Daphnia pulex: one gene and its partner. The protein of the gene in region 1 interacts with the protein of each later gene in a pairwise test. Links are inferred from orthologs where the notes say so. Each region holds a gene or a part of one and is shown on either strand. Other genes may lie near its edges. The genes, in order: eyes absent homolog 1-like and homeobox protein SIX1-like.

Region 1 (9,245 bases):
GGAAAAAAATAAGACGAGGAAAAGAAAATGGGGAAGAGAAGACACAAAAAAATAAGACGGACACCCTCGGTCTCTTGTATGTCGGCCATCGGCTACAGAGGAAGGAACACCGCCCTTTTCGCCCTCTTTTATAGATGTAGTAAGCCATGTTAGTGTGCCTCCTTCTATATACCCCCGCTGAGATTCTAAGAGAATGATGGGCGGGAAGGGCCGAACTTTTTCGCACATATGGCCAGCACATGTTTCCAATACTCGACAGTCCACACCAACAGTCCGGTGGAGAGAGAGAGAGAAAAAAATAGAAGCGACTCCTCTCTTTCTCTCAACTGACGATCCTGTTGTTGCCCTTTTTTCTAAAAAAAAATGTATACGACTGCTTTACATTGACACTTTGGAAACTGGTCTGGGAATTGGAATGAAATACAGGCCTGTATAGTCACAGCGCTACATTTCTTTCCTTAATGTGATGTTTGATTTGTCCTTTCACCGTATTCTTATTTCCGTTGCCTGTGCGTATTCGTTTTGGTTTGGAATTCCTGTTGTGAGAGGCTTTACGGTGTGGATTCCTCCTCTTGGAGGGAGGATATATGCTTTATAATGAGCCAGGCGCCTCGAAGAGTAATACGAGTACACTTCTTTTGTTTTGCTTGGTGGAAAAGAAAATTTCGGAAAAGTGTTGTTGGTTAGGTGTCGGGGCGAAGAGAAATGACGATCAAAATACGAACAACTTCAAAACGCGCTTCTATTTATTTACGTTACATATTATACCGTACACGTCACGGCTTTGGTTTGTTTGTTTGTTTGTTTCCTTCCTGGCTCCCGAATGTCGGGAACTAATAGGCTACCAGGAAACTATTACATTAATCTTAAATCCTAAACGAATTTTATCAAAAGAACTATACCAGCCAGAAAGAAAAACAATGTCAACAAAATCAGTGCTCCCTCGAATAACGACATACGGACAGAGGAGATCTTTTTTTTTCTCCCTGTTGTTATATTTGCAGTGTGTTCTTTTTGGGAAGTCTGAACCCTCAATGGTACATAAATCACTCGTCGTCGACCGAGTTGAGATATGAGCGTCGGCCTTTGTCCGAGTCCCTAAATCCAGCGAGTTGGCGATATTCGAAGCGCTCGCATCCAAGGATCCCGCCTTTTTCGAGCGAATGTTGACCAATCGCTAGTCGGAAAACGGTTCACATTCGCCCGTGTTTTACAACGTGATCGTGAACAGCACAAAAAGAATAGTTCCTTTTTTGGGGGGGAGCTCTCATAGGTGACCCAATTTATACCCGTCAAATCAGCACATCAAGGCGAGGAAAAAAGCACGTTGAGCTCTCCACGAATAGGCACGCGCCGTATTCTATTTCAGTACCTGTCAAGTTAAGTGCCATTCATCTTGCAAGGTGTTTGGAATCGCATTCGGTTAGATTTTTAGCAGCATTATGTGCCAGAAAAGTCAGAAATCCAACGTCTCGCGTATCGCTAATCAATCACAGGTGGCTGTTTTGTCGTTTTGCGGTCAATAGTGTCTTATTAAACTTCATCTCAAGTGTCTTATTTCTCAAAAATCTTACATGAAATTAATTTCTTCTGTTCCCTATAAAGCAGGCTTGGTGAAACCGGTCACGTGTCTAGCCCTGCCAGCCAATCAGAATCGACATGCGGATCTCCTGGTGAACAAGGCGGAGGAAGCGGAGGCGGAGGGAATAGCGGCCATCCGCCAGAAGGCCAATCGTCCATCCAGCAGCAGCAAGGAGGTTTGGTTGGACCCGGTCCCGGTAGCGGTTCGTTGGTATCCAGGACGATGACCTCTTCCACACCGACGTATTCGTCATCGCCGGCGTCATGGACACTGGCGACACCTTCAGACAATTCCTTAGGTAATACAAACGATGTCAAATGTAATCATACCTTCGGTATGAATTACAACTCGTTCTACCCGCTAACATTTTGTGTCAGAAGAATTCTTCTTTCCCACCTGTATTACTGTCGTCTTTTTTTTGTTTTTTGGTTAACCGCACTTTCTATGCGACTTGTTTTCCCTCCCCAAGATATACATTCTCCCACAATGTTTTGTATCCAGACATTGTCTCTAGTGCGGATGGATGCGAGCATTTGAAAGTCATCCCTCTTTTCCCCAGGTGGGTTGAAGAAGCGCCACGGATCAAGTTCGCGGCACTCACGCATCATGGATCGTAACGTCCTGTGTGCATTCTCTGTCTCCGTTGCTTTCTTATTCCCAACATCCAAGTGGTAATCGATCCTATTCCAGCTTGGGCTCCTATTCTTTCTTTTCTATGACGAACCATTCTGCCCGTCTCCCCGCTCTCTTCCGAGAGGCTTCATTTTCAATTAAAATTGAACTTGATTCGATTTACCTCCAGTGTGCTGCCCTTCTTCAGCTCCTCTTCATCATCTGTAGACGCCATCGAGTCTGACCCGTCATCCTTGACTTCCCAGTCACTGCCTCCTTCTTCTCTCCATCGACTCCCTTTACCCTCGTTGTGATGCATTTGATTCGATCAAACTATAGTCGTGTCCGCCGTAATAGTATTCGTTACACGTTAGGCCACACTTGGCTTCCTCTAACTATACTTGGAATATACGTACTTAGGTATCCCAGTCTAGAAAGATATACCGAAGACGTATCAAAGTATACTCGAATATATATTCACCCTAACTACCCCTCTCCACCAGAAGAGGAAAAAAAATAATAATAAAAAAGGCTAAGGGGGGAGGGGGGAAATGGTACGTCTCAAGTAACACTGTCCGTCCGTCCGTCTTTTTTTTTTCTTGTTATTTTTTTCTTTTCTTATGAGAGGGGGGCCTTTTTTTATTTCAACTATGTCTGAAACTTTTCCGCGACAGCTCACATTCAAAAACTGTAGGTTTTTCGTAGTGGGAGGGAAATTGATTTTAATCGAGTTTGTCGGTATAAAGAACACAGCGCCGGTATCTAGGGCAGTGGTCATTTTCTATCATTGAATTGTTCGTCGAGTGATTGTTATTGATTGCGAGGAGAAGAAATAATAATAATAAAACAAACAAAAAACGAGGAATATGCAGGCGGAGAGCGACCGAAATGTCAGCAATTTACGACGAATCGAACCGACATCAAGTGGCGATCAATCTATCCATAAATATAATCAGGAAATGGTCGATTGAGAATCTCGCCCATTCTTTTTTGTTCCCTTGAGCAGTGTATGGTACGTCTCTCTTATTTCAAACGATCAGCTGATCGTCAAAGAAGCTTGGAATGTGGGCACAGAGAAAGGGAGTGAATCGCGTTTGCCAAGAGCAATAGACAGACAAACGAAGCAGAGATTCAGATTAGGAGATGAGAAATCTCAGATTACACCAATATCACAACCATTTCCTCTTTATTCTCTCTCTCTCTCTATTTCTCTTCAGTCGATATGGCTGTTTCAATGGTGGACGAATGGCGATTCCAACAGATATTGACATTCCACTGCGTTTGATTTGCCATTTCCAGCGAAAGACACCAGATCGAAACGTGTGTCCCCACGTCTCTCTAGTTCCTCTGAATTTGTTTGTTCACCGGAACCCGTGCGGAAATACTCGCAGACTGCGTAGACACTCTGTGCACATGTAAACGTACAGTATGGAATTTGGTGTTGGCTTTTGTACCGTGTTGGGTCTGAATTCGTTCAGTCCGTCGCGGATCTTTGAAAGCGCAACGAATGAGTCAGCGTCGATCCAGTCTTTTCATCTGTAAGCTACGCACAAAAAGTTCCCAGACACCACAGGCTATTATCGATGACGGCTGGAAAACATAAAAGAGAATCAATCAAAAGGCATTCAAATTAACGATCCTTGTTATTTTGTTTTCACAGTGAAATCCGAACTTCTTGGAGCCTCGTCTGAAGGCCATCTCGGCTCTTCAGATTCGCCCTTCGTCAGCGACGCTCTGGCTGCCGTCACCGGTGACTACCAATCGGCCTACGCTGCTTCCTATTACAGCAGGTACGATCCAAATAAGTGCATGTGGGATTCATCTCTCAAGACAATCAAATTAATAAACTGGAGAAGGAAACGTGCGACTTGGCATCGCTTGACAGGGGCTGGTGTAAAACGGCCGTTGTTTTGGGGGGAACGCGTTTATTAATGCAGACGTGTCTAAAAAAGAAAACAGTTGGCTGTGATAATAATAATAATAATGGAATGCAGCGGCGTGATGTTGTGTGAACGACCTCGTTGAAATTTCTTCATTTCCTACTTGTTTTGTGGCTTTTCATCAATGCCTCCGTGCGTTTTTTTTTATTTGATTCGTTTGTGTTATCATTGCAGCGCGATGCAGGCCTACAACAGTCAGTCGACGTCGGCCTACATGCCCAGCAGCGGATTTTACAATGGCGCACCGTCGCAGACGCCTTACGGAGTCCTAGCGCCCTCCACTTACACAACGATGGGCGTGCCTAGTTCAAGAGCTCTAGGCCAACAGTGCAAAAATGGTCAATCATTAGGTGAGTTTTTGAACAAATTTCATTCTAGGGCTTTTATTTTTCAGACACTTATAGGCCAAATCGTTGGTTACATCATTTAAAAATCAAAGTCAGAGTTGTGGCACAGATCAATATCTTGCTGAGTCAGAGTGAAAACGATCTGTATGACGACAGAGTAAATAGTTAAACTATTTCGTGATCCAGCATCCCTATTTGTGGAGTTCACTGACCGCGCGAAACACAACTTAGACTGTTAATTTTTAAAAAATGTGACCGTTTCGCAAGTGGTTCAATATCCTCATTGTGATTTTTTGTTTACCATAGCACAAACGCCTCCGTATTTGAGCTCGTACGGGTCAGCATTCGGAGGCGTCACTGCCAGCAGTTCGCCGTCGGGTCCGCCCGCCTACGCCTCGGCTTATGGATCGGCGTACAACAGCGCCGCCGCCCAATCCTTCAGCAACAGTCAACAAGTTCCAACGGTATGATTTCCTATATGATTAATACGTCCCTGTGATGTAGGCGATATCGTAGGCCTATAGACTCTATGCGGGGTATAGTGTCGGGACCAAGGTGTGTCGACGACCACCGCAACAAATTTGTTTGTCTCTTTTGCAAAATAATCCGATGATCCGATAAGTATTGTTACAATAATGGGAGACTGCCCAAGTCACGATGTCGTCACACGTTCACCGTGTTTCCTTTGTTCTTGTATGGTTTCGCAGGGACTCGATTACGGTACGTATACGCCGTACGGCCAAGCCAGTAGTTACGCGTCCTACTATGGCCAGAGTTACGCTCCCTATGGCAACGGCAGCGTCTCTGGCACAGCGTCGTTGCCCAGCCTATCGCCGACCGGATTGCCGAGCCTTGGTGGAGTCCCTAACCCGACCAGCGCAGCAACCAACAGCAACAATGTCTCTGCGTCAACAACCAATTTCACTTCGGCTGGATCCTACCAACAGTTGCCGCACGCTAGCCTGACATCAGCTTCCTCTTCCCTCTCAGGTTTGAAGATCCCTACAGGATAAACCCAAACAAATCTAAAGAAAAACATAATATGTAGCAAAATCCGGTAATAACGACTTTACTCTAATGGTCTCTTTCGTGTTTGAAAAGCAGAGAGTCCGCCGTATCCCGTTGTGGAGAACAGCAGTCCACCCCTGACAATCAAGAGCGATTCGACCCCGACCAACAACTCTCGGAGGAGTAAGGAGACGTCAGCCGAAGGTCTGTTCTATACGCTAATAACATTACCTACATACTACGTACGCTTGTTCTATCTAAAATACGTTAGGGTATATTTCTGCTTTCCATATAACATTCGATATCCTCCGGCATTAGCTGAAAAACCTATTACAGCATAAAAATTGAAACAAAAATGAAACAAAGAGAACATGATACGTATAAAGTATAGAAATGATTCGAGAGAAGAAGAAGAAGAAGAAGAAGACGAATAAGAAAAGTGTACGTAGAGCTGGTTCAAGGTTGGATTGGTCTTTTTTATCCCCGTTGCCTCCGTGTGGATGGTTTCGTGCGGGTGCGGGTACGAAGCTGGCTCTTCCTGTTGCACCGACCACGACTGCATCGGTGTCCACTTACCGGACCGCGCTCCTAGCCTCATAGTTATAAGAACTTAATACTTTTGCACTGGGTTGGACGGTCTTGGACGGTTCACGACGTGCAGCTGACGGATCGTGTTCAGCATTGTTAGCCAATTTTTTCTTCTTCTTCTTGATTTGATGACTGCACACAACTCCCGAGGGCTCCATCGTTCATCATTCCCATTGTGAGCATCATCGGCATTCAAAAATCTGCGCAGAGCTCTGAGAAGCTCTCCCGTTCACTCACGCCGGATCGGGTTGCTTCGCCGAGTCGAAACGTCTCTTTGAAATGAGCACGGCTCCTCCTTGACGCTGACATGGGGGCTCTCTGACATGACAAGAAATTGTCGTTGTGATATTACCGTCCTTGTTGAAGCCTAAACATGTTTGCATGCGAGCAGAAATAGACGCAGTTCACTGGAAAATGAATGTGATGAGCGTCTAATACATTTGGCTTTTCTCGTTTCCCAGGTGGATCTAGGAGCGCACGAAATAGAAACCGAAGAGCACCAAATCCGTCACCAGACCCCGAATCAAATTTGGACCGTGTCTTTATTTGGGATCTTGACGAGACCATCATCATTTTCCATTCATTAATGACCGGATCGTACGCCTCCAGATTTGGAAAGGTAACAATACAACACCACAAATTGTGATGACGCTGGCAGTTAATTATTATCGCGCGAGATTTCTGACACAACTGAGACCGCCCTCAACATCTCCCTTCTCTAAGCGCGTTTAACGTGTCTGTTTATCTGTCATGTCAAGCCTGTCAGAGCAAATGAAAATGGCTTGTTTTTAAAGCTGCTTTCGTCTTCGCGCGGGCGGTACTCTTTTTAACTTGTTTCTTGACGTGTAACAATTTGAAAAAATTTTTTAACTCCGCAAGCTCGTTAGTTTCAATTTTCCTATTTCATTGTATTTTTCAGGACGTTCCCGGCTCGATCCAGCTCGGAGTCGGCATGGAGGAGTTGATTTTCAACCTATCCGATACTCATTTCTTTTTCAACGATTTAGAGGTTAGTTGTTTATTTTTTAAAAAATGTTTCTTCGGTCATTTTCCCCCTAGTAACCGTGTTCCAGATTTTAAGCCCTCTATCTTTCCTTACTGGATTTAGATACGAACGCAAAGTTAGGGTATTAATTCACGCCGCTAGATGGTATTGTTGGTTGGAAAGCTTAAAATGTTCAAGGAATCGCGGCCCGTCTGATGCGCATCTTGTTTGGAAGAAGAACAAGAAGGGAAAAAAAAAGAAACACAATAGTAATTTTTTTTAGAATGACGAAGCTGGTTGCTGCGACTATCACTGTTAAATGGCCGCCAAATCTCCCGTCATGACGGAGGAAGAATAAGAAAGAGGAATCAGAGACAAGAAGCTACGCCGTCAGAAGGCGGATCCCAACACAACAAATGACAGTTGTCTCCCGCGCTCCGACAGCATTGGAATCACGGCCAAAAGAGAGACCACAAAACAAACAAATGTGTCGTAGTAGTAGGAAAGGAAAAGCCAAAACAGAAACAATTATTCACGACGGGTGTTATTAGAACAAGAATGGAAACTTCGTGACGTTGTTGATGGGGGGTGTCGCGGTGATTAAAAAACACGAACCGAACAACAAATACGGGAGTGACTCTTGCTTTCGTTCAAAAAATTCTTGTCAGATAGGGAATTTGTTTGTTTTTGCATCCTTGGTTTTTATTTTTTTTTTTGCTCACGGGCGGGAATAGATTCATCAAATGGTTATATAATTTAATCCGTCTGAAGAAAAAAAAGAGGCTGCCAACTTTCGACGGTCCCATTTAGGACCGTCCGCTGGTTTTCTTATCTGGGCTTCGTTTTTGCTTCATTGTTCGTCCGTCGCTCTTATAACGCACCTGTACACATACGGTGAAAGAATTTATGTTTCGTTCGTGTCTCCCTTTTGCGACAATAAATAACGGCGAAAACAAAACGAAGAAATAACTTTACTAGGCGCCGCACGTGACACATGGTTCTCATTCGCTTGCCGAATTGTGTGGCTTCTTCATATCGTTTACCTAGTTTTTCTTCTTCCCTTTATTTTTCTCTCTTTTTCTTTCAACCCTCCAGCCGCCGTCTTCGTCCCTCTTTTCTGGACGATTGCTTTTCTCTCTCTCTCTCCCTCTCTCTCTCTTTCGAATCGAAAACGATGCTGCTGCCCTACTGACATATTATATCTTTGCCAGCGATTGGCTCATACATTTCCTCGGTCCTCCGTATACCGGCCTTTTTTGTGTGTGTGTGTCTGATAGGTATTTTTTGACTGTGGAACGCGACAAAAGCAACTCGTGGATAAAGTAGGGACGAAACGAAGACTATTATATACGCTTGTCGCAATAAATCAAGTCTCTTGCGTCGTTTACTTTCTATTCGCGATCGGGACGGATCGTTAAAAAAATGAAATTTGGTAGGAGAAGATGTAGTACGTTATGTCGGTTATTCGTTTTTGAATGACTCTCGTCCTGGAAATGAGATCTAGTTTGGTTTAATGAACATTGAAAGACGAAGTTAAAAATGAAGTGAAATAATAAACCGCGAAATTGAGAAAACATAGTTGACCACCGCACCAGCAGGTAGAAGAAAACACAACGTTTAGCTTGTCCCATTTGGTTATTTTTGTTAGTCGCGACGGGCTGGCGGGCTGGTTAAATAATAAGGCGATGAATTAAAGGGACAAACTGGCGAACAGATAGAACTTCAAAGAAAGCCGATTGGAAGGACGAAAATTGAAAACAAAAGAAAACCTCAAAATGTTACGCTAAATAATAGTGATTCTCGGAAGTTGTGTAATTATTTCGTGACTGCGTAAATCGTCTTTGACCAGAGTCCGCGTTCCGGTCGGTCGTTCGTATCATCATTCGTTTTAAGCATCATAAGAACTCGTCGCGGAACCAATGGAATTCAAGAAAATTTTAAAAATAATTTCGTGCGGGAGGAGAAGGAACCGTTTGAGATGGCCAAGACGAGACCTTGAGAGTAGTAGAATAGGACAAGAGTGCATACGTATTATGCTATGTACTGCACGTCTCTCATCCTTAAAAAAAAAAGCCAGAAGTGGGGAAGGTGAGGGCTAAATAATTTAAAGAATTAGGGAAAAAAAATTCAACGATTCAAGGCCTTCTCTCTCAATCTTTCAACTTTGAAAGAAAACGCTGAGA
Region 2 (8,298 bases), on another chromosome or scaffold:
TTCTTTTTTGGCCGGCCTAAAAATAAAATTATTTCGCCAAACTTGTCAAAACATCGTCGAAAGGCTTTAAAAATAAGCTTAAAAGTGACGATTGAACTTGTCGCCATGTAGACCAGCAGGTAGATATAGACTCAAATATTAACCCCCAAATATAACAGACAACTCAAATACTATAACCGCGGACTATAGACAAAAGATAAAACGCGAAAAACCCCACAGCGTTTGTTGATGGACAACGACACAAAAAGGGAAAAAATCCTTTAATGCTCCTAATACGCTCACTATATAGCTACTATATATATAAAATAAATATAGCGGCTCATCTACTATACTATACTAACAGGAATTGTATTTTTATATATACAAGGGGGGAATAAAGAAAAGAGAAAAGGGGATTTTGAATAGAAGCGCCTTGGAGAGATAATCTCTTGTTTACCTTTCGATTCTTATAATATTTTACCCCTGGCCGTTTTTGTTGTAGGCCTACGCTGGCATTATTATAGAGAGATTCATCCACAGTATAGTGCACTAATGTATATACCCACAACAGCACCGTTGAATGGGCACCAGACTGACGGTCCGGCGTTGAAAAGACGCGCGGCCCGGTAGCTCTTCCCAAAAACTTACAAGACTCAAAAAAGACGATTGCGACGGACACACAAAAGAAAATGTATATAAAAACCCTATTGAAATTATAAGAATCAGATACAACACGCGCCCGGTATTATCTACTATATACTATACAGTTTGATGGCGGTTAAATAACTGCCCGGCTCTCTCTCTATGTGTGTGTGTGTATTGTAATGTTTGTTATTCTTTCTTTTTTAAACCTTTTGTGCGTTATTTTCTTATAATAAAAGAACAGCAGCAGCGATTGTTTGCTGTGTGTGTGTCTATTCCAGCCGAATGGATTCATTCCCATCTCTTGTTTTTTTTTTTTACACGTAGTATGTTTTATGATAATTGGATACACACAAGTATTATAAATTGGATTTTTTTCCAGCCACAGAAAGAGCCTTTCAACAGGGCCGTCATTACTCTCTCTTCTCTTGGTTTTATATTTTTATGGAAAAAATATATTTATTTGTTGTTGTTGTTTCAGGACGACCGTTATATTTATTATTATTTTCTCCCCCCAAAAAAATAAATTTTTTGTTCATTTCTGCGTGTGTTGTCCATTTAGATTCTCTCCAATTTTTTAATGGATGAGCGCCATTAAAGGTGATAATCATCGCGCCGAGAGCTAGCTATAGCCTGTGTAGCCCATTAAGTTATAGATATGGTTTCCTGTTTTGATGTATAGAAGATTATTTCTCAACACTTATTTTTCTTTTATTTTCTTTTATTTTTATGTGATGCACTTCCCCAGTTATTATTTATTTGGGGGCTTTTCTGATTGGGACGATGAGTAATAACAGACAAGCACAGAGGGCTGAGCAAACATTTTCACACGTTATAAAAGAAAAGAAAAAGTAATTGAATATAACTAAGGGAAACAGCAGCAGCACCGAACCGAATCGTTATAATAAGAAACAAAAGAGAAATTAAATCTCAAAAAGATTTTTAAAAAAATAAAAAGTGTCATGGGATATAGTTGGGAAAAAAAAATCTCTAAAAGGATGGTCGTCGTCGTTTTCTTCCACAAAGTTCAACCAAAGTTCAACACCGGAAGTCCTCCCCACACGACCGAAGATTATTACGCAACACGCCTTATTCTTTTTACACACACAGAGTAGTATACCTATATAGCGTGTAATACACGTTTATAATCACACACAGGTATATAATACAAATATAAGAATATGTCTAACAATGAAAAAGGGGGGAGAAACTATGGTAGGGGGGTTAAATATAGCGGGTCGGTCTAATTAGCACCTGGCACATATAGACCCCAGCAGCACAGCACAGCACACTGGCGGCATCACAGAGTTTCATTATATATAAAAATAAACCAAGCCAAAAAAGGGAATAAAGAATCTAAATAGATATCCGTTGTGTATTTACTTAAAGACTTTAAATGGCCCCTTTTGATTATATACGACTTCTTCTTCTTGTGTTGGACTTTTCCAACTATTCATCCACTTTGTCTGCTGCGCTTATATAATATGCACACTAAACACACAACGTGTGTAATATTATAACAAGGGCAGCACAGGATGTATCTAGTTAGTGGCCGTTTGTGGCAATAATAATCTACAACACAGTTACGCCGGCCCGGCCCGGCCTGGCCTATATTATTTTCCAGCCAAACGGATGTTAAATCATACATCAATTCATTCTTTTTATATAATATAATATCCCCAGGTGTGATTATGCAAGCGGAGAGGTTTTAATGATGTTACGTTTAATATTTTTAAGGTTTTACTGCTGACATTTGCAAACGGGAAATATCAAAAGGTGCTGGGCCATCCAGTGAAATCAATTGTATAAAATCTGTGCGCACAGCCCAGCAGTTGGGACGGGCACGTGAGTTGCTGGATGGCTGGTGATGGGGGGATGAACTGAACTGATTTTTTCTGATTGATTAGAACAAAGTGACAGCTCATTTCATCAGATATAATAATAAAAAGGGGGGAGGATGCCAGCAGCAGCAACCCCTCACATAATAATAATGATAATCAAAAATATAATTCAAATGAAAAATAATATAGAAGATGGCTGTGCTGCTGCTGTGCTGCTGCGTATTGTTTGATCGTGGCCACCCCGTTTTTCTATTCTCTTTTTTCTCGAAATATAATAAAGAGATATTGTGTGTTTTGCTGGATGAATGGCACAGCCGGCTGCTCGCGTGCCCCCCTCACCACCCCACCCATTTTTACCTGTGGTCTCTTGTTGTGTGTGTGTAGCCCCTTTGACGTTTGTTGGTTGATTTTACGTTCCTGATTGAAAAGTTGGCCAATATTCTCTGATATACATTTTCAAGCTAAAAATAAAAATAGAAAAAAGAACTTTGACATTCACCAGCAGTTTGTGCTGGTCCTTGGAAATGTTCAGTGTACAGTTTGGACATTTTTGCATATCATTAGACACACCTGGGGGGAATATATATTTTAAAAGGGGCGGTCATTTACTCTGCGCGTGCAACACTTGCACCTTCGAAATGGCCACCAGCAGGAGATAGACGAAATCTTTTGCTCTTGTGATTTCATCACCACCACCAACTCTGCTGCATGTCACTGGCCTTTGATTCTATTATTCGCCGCTCGTGTGTTCTACATGGGCGTTTGCATATATAGGACGGACGCCATTGCATACAATAACCGCCCGCGTTTATATTCCCACCCCGTTATTTCGGATAGAGGAGGAACGAGGGTGAGCAGCAGTGCTGTTAACGGGCGCCGCGGCGCTTCTTTTCTTTCTTTCTTTCTGCTGTTATATATGTCGTGAGGTACGATAACGAGCGCGTCACCCGGCCATGAACATCACAGCAGCTCTTCCCGGTGTTCTTCCTTCCACCCCCCGGCCTCCCCTCCCCCCTCTTTTATATATATATATTCTATTCCCAATTAGGACGTCTATTGTTTGCTGGTTATGTACTGTGCATGCGGCGGCGGTGGCGGCGGTGGTGTGACGGCGGCGCGCCCGTCGACCGGAACGACGACGACAACGACGCCGTCCGCCGTAACAAACCGAAAAAAAAAACAAAAAAAGAACGTCGAAATTTAGATGTCAAAAATTATTTGATCAAGAAATTATTATTTCTTTCTTTTTTAATTAAATTTACAAATAAATCTGAATATTTTAAAAAATTACATTTTCTTTCTGATTAATTCTTTCTTGATTTAATTTTTTAGAAATTTGAATTTAAAATAATAATGTTTTCATTTTCTTATTGGAAATGAAATAAATTTTTCTGAATTTATGAGAAACAATTTGTGAATTTTTGTTTTGTTTTCAAATCGTTTTGGTATTTTTGTACAACAGCGTCCAGCAGTCGAGTATTGAGAGAGAGACACACATTACAAAAGAAAAAAAAAACAACAGATTATTACACATTCACTAATTGATGACATAATACGAACACCAGGAAATTGAAACCAACAAAAAATTGAAAAAATGTTTTTTTCTTTAAGGGTGGGTCTGGGGAAAAATTAAAATTCAGAAGATAAAAAAAAGCTGATGATTTTGGTTTGGATTTTAGACAAGAAAACATTTTTGTTTTTTCTAAATTATTGATTGATTGATTACTGTATAAACACAAAATGGAGAGAACAAATTGATTTTTTTTTCTGATCAAGATATATAAATGTAATAAAACCCCCCGTCATTTAAATATATATCATTCGATTGGACCGCGAAAATTTCGTTTGAAAAAAAAAAATAATAATAATTTTCAAATGGAGAATTAAAATGTTTTAGATGAGTCGATCCGTTTTTTCGATATATATATAATAGGCCAGAGAGAAGGGAAAAATTAGCAATAAAATATTATTGTTTTGGCGCCAATTGAATTCTTTTTGTTTTGCTGTCCAATTAAAAAAGCGGGAAAAAAAAATTCAATCACTGGGTTCATATTTTTTGACAAAAAAATTCCTATCCGCTTCAAAATTGTTTTATACTACTTTTTTATGAAAATTAAAAAATTGATTATACACATCTTTTCTTTTTGGAATGGAATAGGTTGGCGAAATATAGCAAATGAAATTTTGAATTTAAAAAAAAAGGGAATTATATAATCAATTTGAATTTTTCTGGCGGGAAAATAAACTCAATTGAAATTTGAATAATTTTTGAATTTTTAAATCTACGGTGGTCGTCACGAATTGGCGTGCGGATTGTTGTAGTCGTGGGCCGTCGGCTGCTGCTGGGCAGGCCCGGTCGATTGTTGTTGTTGTTGCTGGAGCAGAGAATGGGCCAGATCGGCGTGCGACGGGTGGTGCGAGGTGACGTGGTGGCCGGGCGAGCCAAAAGCGGCGGCTGCGGCCGCCGCAGCCGCCGCAGCCGCCGCCGCCGACGCCATTTGCAACTGGTGGCTCGTGTGGTAGACGGACGCCAGTTTCAGGTCCGGGTACAAATCGCCGATCGATCCGCCACCAATCAGCGAGTCCTATTTTGTTTATTTATTTAAAATTAATTGGAATTCAATTAAAATTGAAATGATTTCTATACCTGGTTGCTGCCGTGGTGCGGGAGGGAGTTGGCCAGTGCGGCGGCCATGTTGTTGAGTTGTTGTTGTTGTTGTTGTTGCTGGTGGTGGTGATGGTGGTGGTGGTGGTGCTGGATGTGATGAGGGGGCGGCGGCGAGGGCGTGTCCAACAGGGCGGCCGAGTGACGCGCCGACGCCAGCGACGACGTCGCCATGGCAACGTCGGGACCGTCTCCGTCCAGCGACTCGGACCCGGATTCGTCCAGGGCCGAGGCGTCGTTGGCGCCGTCTCCGCCGTCCTTGGCCGAACTTCCGCCCGACACTCTGCGCGGCAAATTCAAAAAAATTTGAAAAATTTGAAAAATTCGTGGCGGGAAAAAACAATTGAATTTAAAATTGATTCCAGTTAAAAATTTAAAATTAAAACAGAAAAGAAGAAAAAGAAGAAAAGGGCGGAGGTGGGGTGGGGAAACGGACGGATCAGGTTTCTTCTTCCCCTTGTCGAGTTGTTGGCCGTGTGTGACTGCGCACACACAGCGAGACGGCCAGACTGGCTGCTGCTGCTGCTGTTGTTGCTGGCAACTGGTTCTATATTCCCTTCCATTCAAGTGAGGCTCTCAACAGAGGGGGCTGTTTGTTTGACTGACATTTTTATATAATACCCAGACAGAAAAGAAAAAGAAAAAAAGACGGGCAGGAAAAAAAAGACCATCAGGGCGCCTCCGGAATTTTGTGTTTCTTTTGTGTGTACGTTATATACTTACACGCTTCATCAGAGACGGACAAAAAGACATCAGCCGATTACTTGTCGTAACATTACGTCGACTGGCCAGACCAAATCAACCGTCAAACATTGGGAATTTCTTTTAAAAAAATACGAAAATGGACGGCCTAAAAATAAAATTTTATTTTTGCCCGGCAAAAATTTTATTTTTTTTTGTCCGGGGTGGGTTGACGGCCTAGAAAATCAAGTTGTCCTTTATGTACCGTTATAACGACAATATTGACTCGGGTTACACACAGAGAAAAGACCGAAAATGAAGAAGGGCCGTCCAATATTGACACAGCTGAAAGGGTCTCTCCCTCCGCACCAAAAATCTAACCCACTTATTTGTCTGTCCGTCTACTACATACCGCCCACCCATTACGTTAATAACATCAAACTCTGCACGGCCTATCAACATTCCCCTGATGCTGGACATTTATAAACAAGGCCGGGAATAAATGAAATGGCCCAGTTGCCCAGTTCAAATGTCTATACACAGTTGACCCCCCTTTGCCCCAAAAAATAATGGCCGTCTAGTTTCACGTCCAGTCGCGCCGACTTGGTTTTTTTTTCTTTTAAAAACTATCTCGGCCAGCAGTTGTATATAGCGCCGGGCCAGGCCGTTAAAATACGACACGCCACGAAGACGACGACGAGAGAGTCAAAGAGTTTAAATATAGATAGAAAAAAGGCGCCTCTTAGTGTGTATCTAAGACAACAGTGTGTGTGTGTGTGTGCCCAGTCAAAAGTTTATATATACATCAGAAAGAAAAGGGCGGCCAGCGTATATAGAGTCCCTTTGGCTGGTATATATACTCTGACTGGTGTGCTGGCCCAGTCATAACAACAACCCCAACAACTTCTTTTATATCTCTCTCTAGGCCAGCAGCTAGCAGTAGATTGATTTTGATTTCGATTGAGATAAAAAGCCGGGCCAATTAGCGCCGGCCTTATAATGATAAATGAAAGATAATATTATAAAAAGACGGACCTGTCTTTGTGCTCGGCGGCCCTGTCTCTCTGCCGCCGGTTCTTGAACCAGTTGGAGACTTGGGTGGTCGTCAGGCCGGTGGCCTCGGCCAGCTCGCGCTTCTCCCTCGGCGACGGGTACGGATTGTGGCCGTACCAGTCGCGGAGCACCGATCGCGACTTCTCCTTGAAGCAGTAGCTCGTCTCCTCTCCGTCCCAAATGGTCCGCGGCAGCGGGAACTTTCTGCGCACCCGGTACTTGCCCACCGCACCCAACGGCCGCCCGCGCAACTTTTCCGCCTCGATGTAATGCGCCTTCAACCAAAGAGCCTAATATCAAATTTTAAAAAATCAAAATTTAATTTTTGCTGGGCAGACGGGCAGACGGAAAAATTATTTTTTTTCAATTTTTGGAATTTTTGGTCCAGCAGACGGACGGAAAAATTTTATTTTTTTGCCCAGCAGACGGGCAGACGGGCAGACGGACGGACCTGTAGTTTGGGATGATTGTGCGGCGAGAATGGATGGGTTTCCAGGAGTTTGTAGAGTTCTTTGAAATTGGCGCGGTGGAAGGCGACGACGGCCTTGGCTTTGAGAACGCTCTCGTTCTTGTGCAGCTGGTCGCAGGCCGGCAGCGACCAGAGGAAACGGGCCAGCCGCTCAATGTTGCCGCTCTGCTGGAGGACCTCGCAGACGCAGGCCACCTGCTCCTGCGTGAAGCCGAACGACGGCAGGGCCGCACCGCCGCCGTTTCCGCCGGAACTCAGCGACGACGTCCCACCAACCGAAGACGACGAATTGTTGTTGTTGTTGTTGTTGTTGTTGGATGAAGGAGGAGATTGACTGGGCAACGTCATCCCAGTTGACGTCGAAGACATTCCCGGCATCTAATATTTTTGAAATAATTAAATAATATTTTAAATTTAAAATTCCATTTGATTTTGGGTCGTTGAAATGAAAAATTTTGATTGGGAATAATGACGGACGGCCCGTCGCTAAATGTGACGGCCGGGCCGGCCATTGATTCGTTAAAAAACCAGAATAATAATAAAAAATGGAATTTAAAAAATGTTTTATATCATACCATTCCGGCGGCCATCATGCCACCCAGCCCCATGTGGTGATGGTGGTGATGGGCGGCAAAGCCGGACATGTGATGATGATGTGCCACCAGGTCGGACATGCCTCCAGCAGCTGACGGACCGACAATCATCGATCGGCTTTGATTCGATCAAAAGTTGTAACTTCCCCCACGTAATTTTTATAGTTTTATTTTCCAATTTCTTTTGATTCTTTCGATGATTATAACAGAACAAACGGACACGTGCTGCTGGACAGCTGACGGGCCACCAAATTGAGTTAGACACACATCTATAATAAGCCGCTTTCCTTTGGCTATAAGATTAAAGATGACAGTTGAATTGGAGATTATAATCGGATCATATTATAAAAATCCCAAATTTTTTAAAAATAAATC

The links.
Region 2: the proteins of eyes absent homolog 1-like (region 1) and homeobox protein SIX1-like interact in a two-hybrid assay, tested with the Drosophila melanogaster proteins (2 studies listed by BioGRID). The link is inferred for Daphnia pulex from reciprocal best matches to the Drosophila melanogaster genes eya and so.

The regions. Positions count from the first base shown.
Region 1 is NC_060018.1:2,755,386-2,764,630, reverse strand, and holds part of eyes absent homolog 1-like, read left to right. Parts: intron 1-1,605; coding exon 1,606-1,880; intron 1,881-3,675; exon of another isoform or gene 3,676-3,701; coding exon of another isoform or gene 3,702-3,732; intron 3,733-3,854; coding exon 3,855-3,984; intron 3,985-4,308; coding exon 4,309-4,484; intron 4,485-4,787; coding exon 4,788-4,945; intron 4,946-5,188; coding exon 5,189-5,471; intron 5,472-5,585; coding exon 5,586-5,693; intron 5,694-6,538; coding exon 6,539-6,696; intron 6,697-6,996; coding exon 6,997-7,086; intron 7,087-9,245. UniProt on the Drosophila melanogaster protein: Tyrosine phosphatase thought to play a role in transcription regulation during organogenesis through its intrinsic protein phosphatase activity. The phosphatase activity was shown in vitro. Appears to function together with So and Dac in eye development.
Region 2 is NC_060021.1:1,423,931-1,432,228, forward strand, and holds the end of homeobox protein SIX1-like, read right to left. Parts: 5' UTR 8,035-8,298; coding exon 7,906-8,034; intron 7,709-7,905; coding exon 7,313-7,708; intron 7,152-7,312; coding exon 6,844-7,151; intron 5,411-6,843; coding exon 5,110-5,410; intron 5,048-5,109; coding exon 4,958-5,047; coding exon of another isoform or gene 4,918-4,957; coding exon 4,669-4,917; 3' UTR 3,873-4,668; downstream 1-3,872. UniProt on the Drosophila melanogaster protein: Required for visual system development. May transcriptionally regulate genes necessary for optic lobe invagination and Bolwig's nerve formation.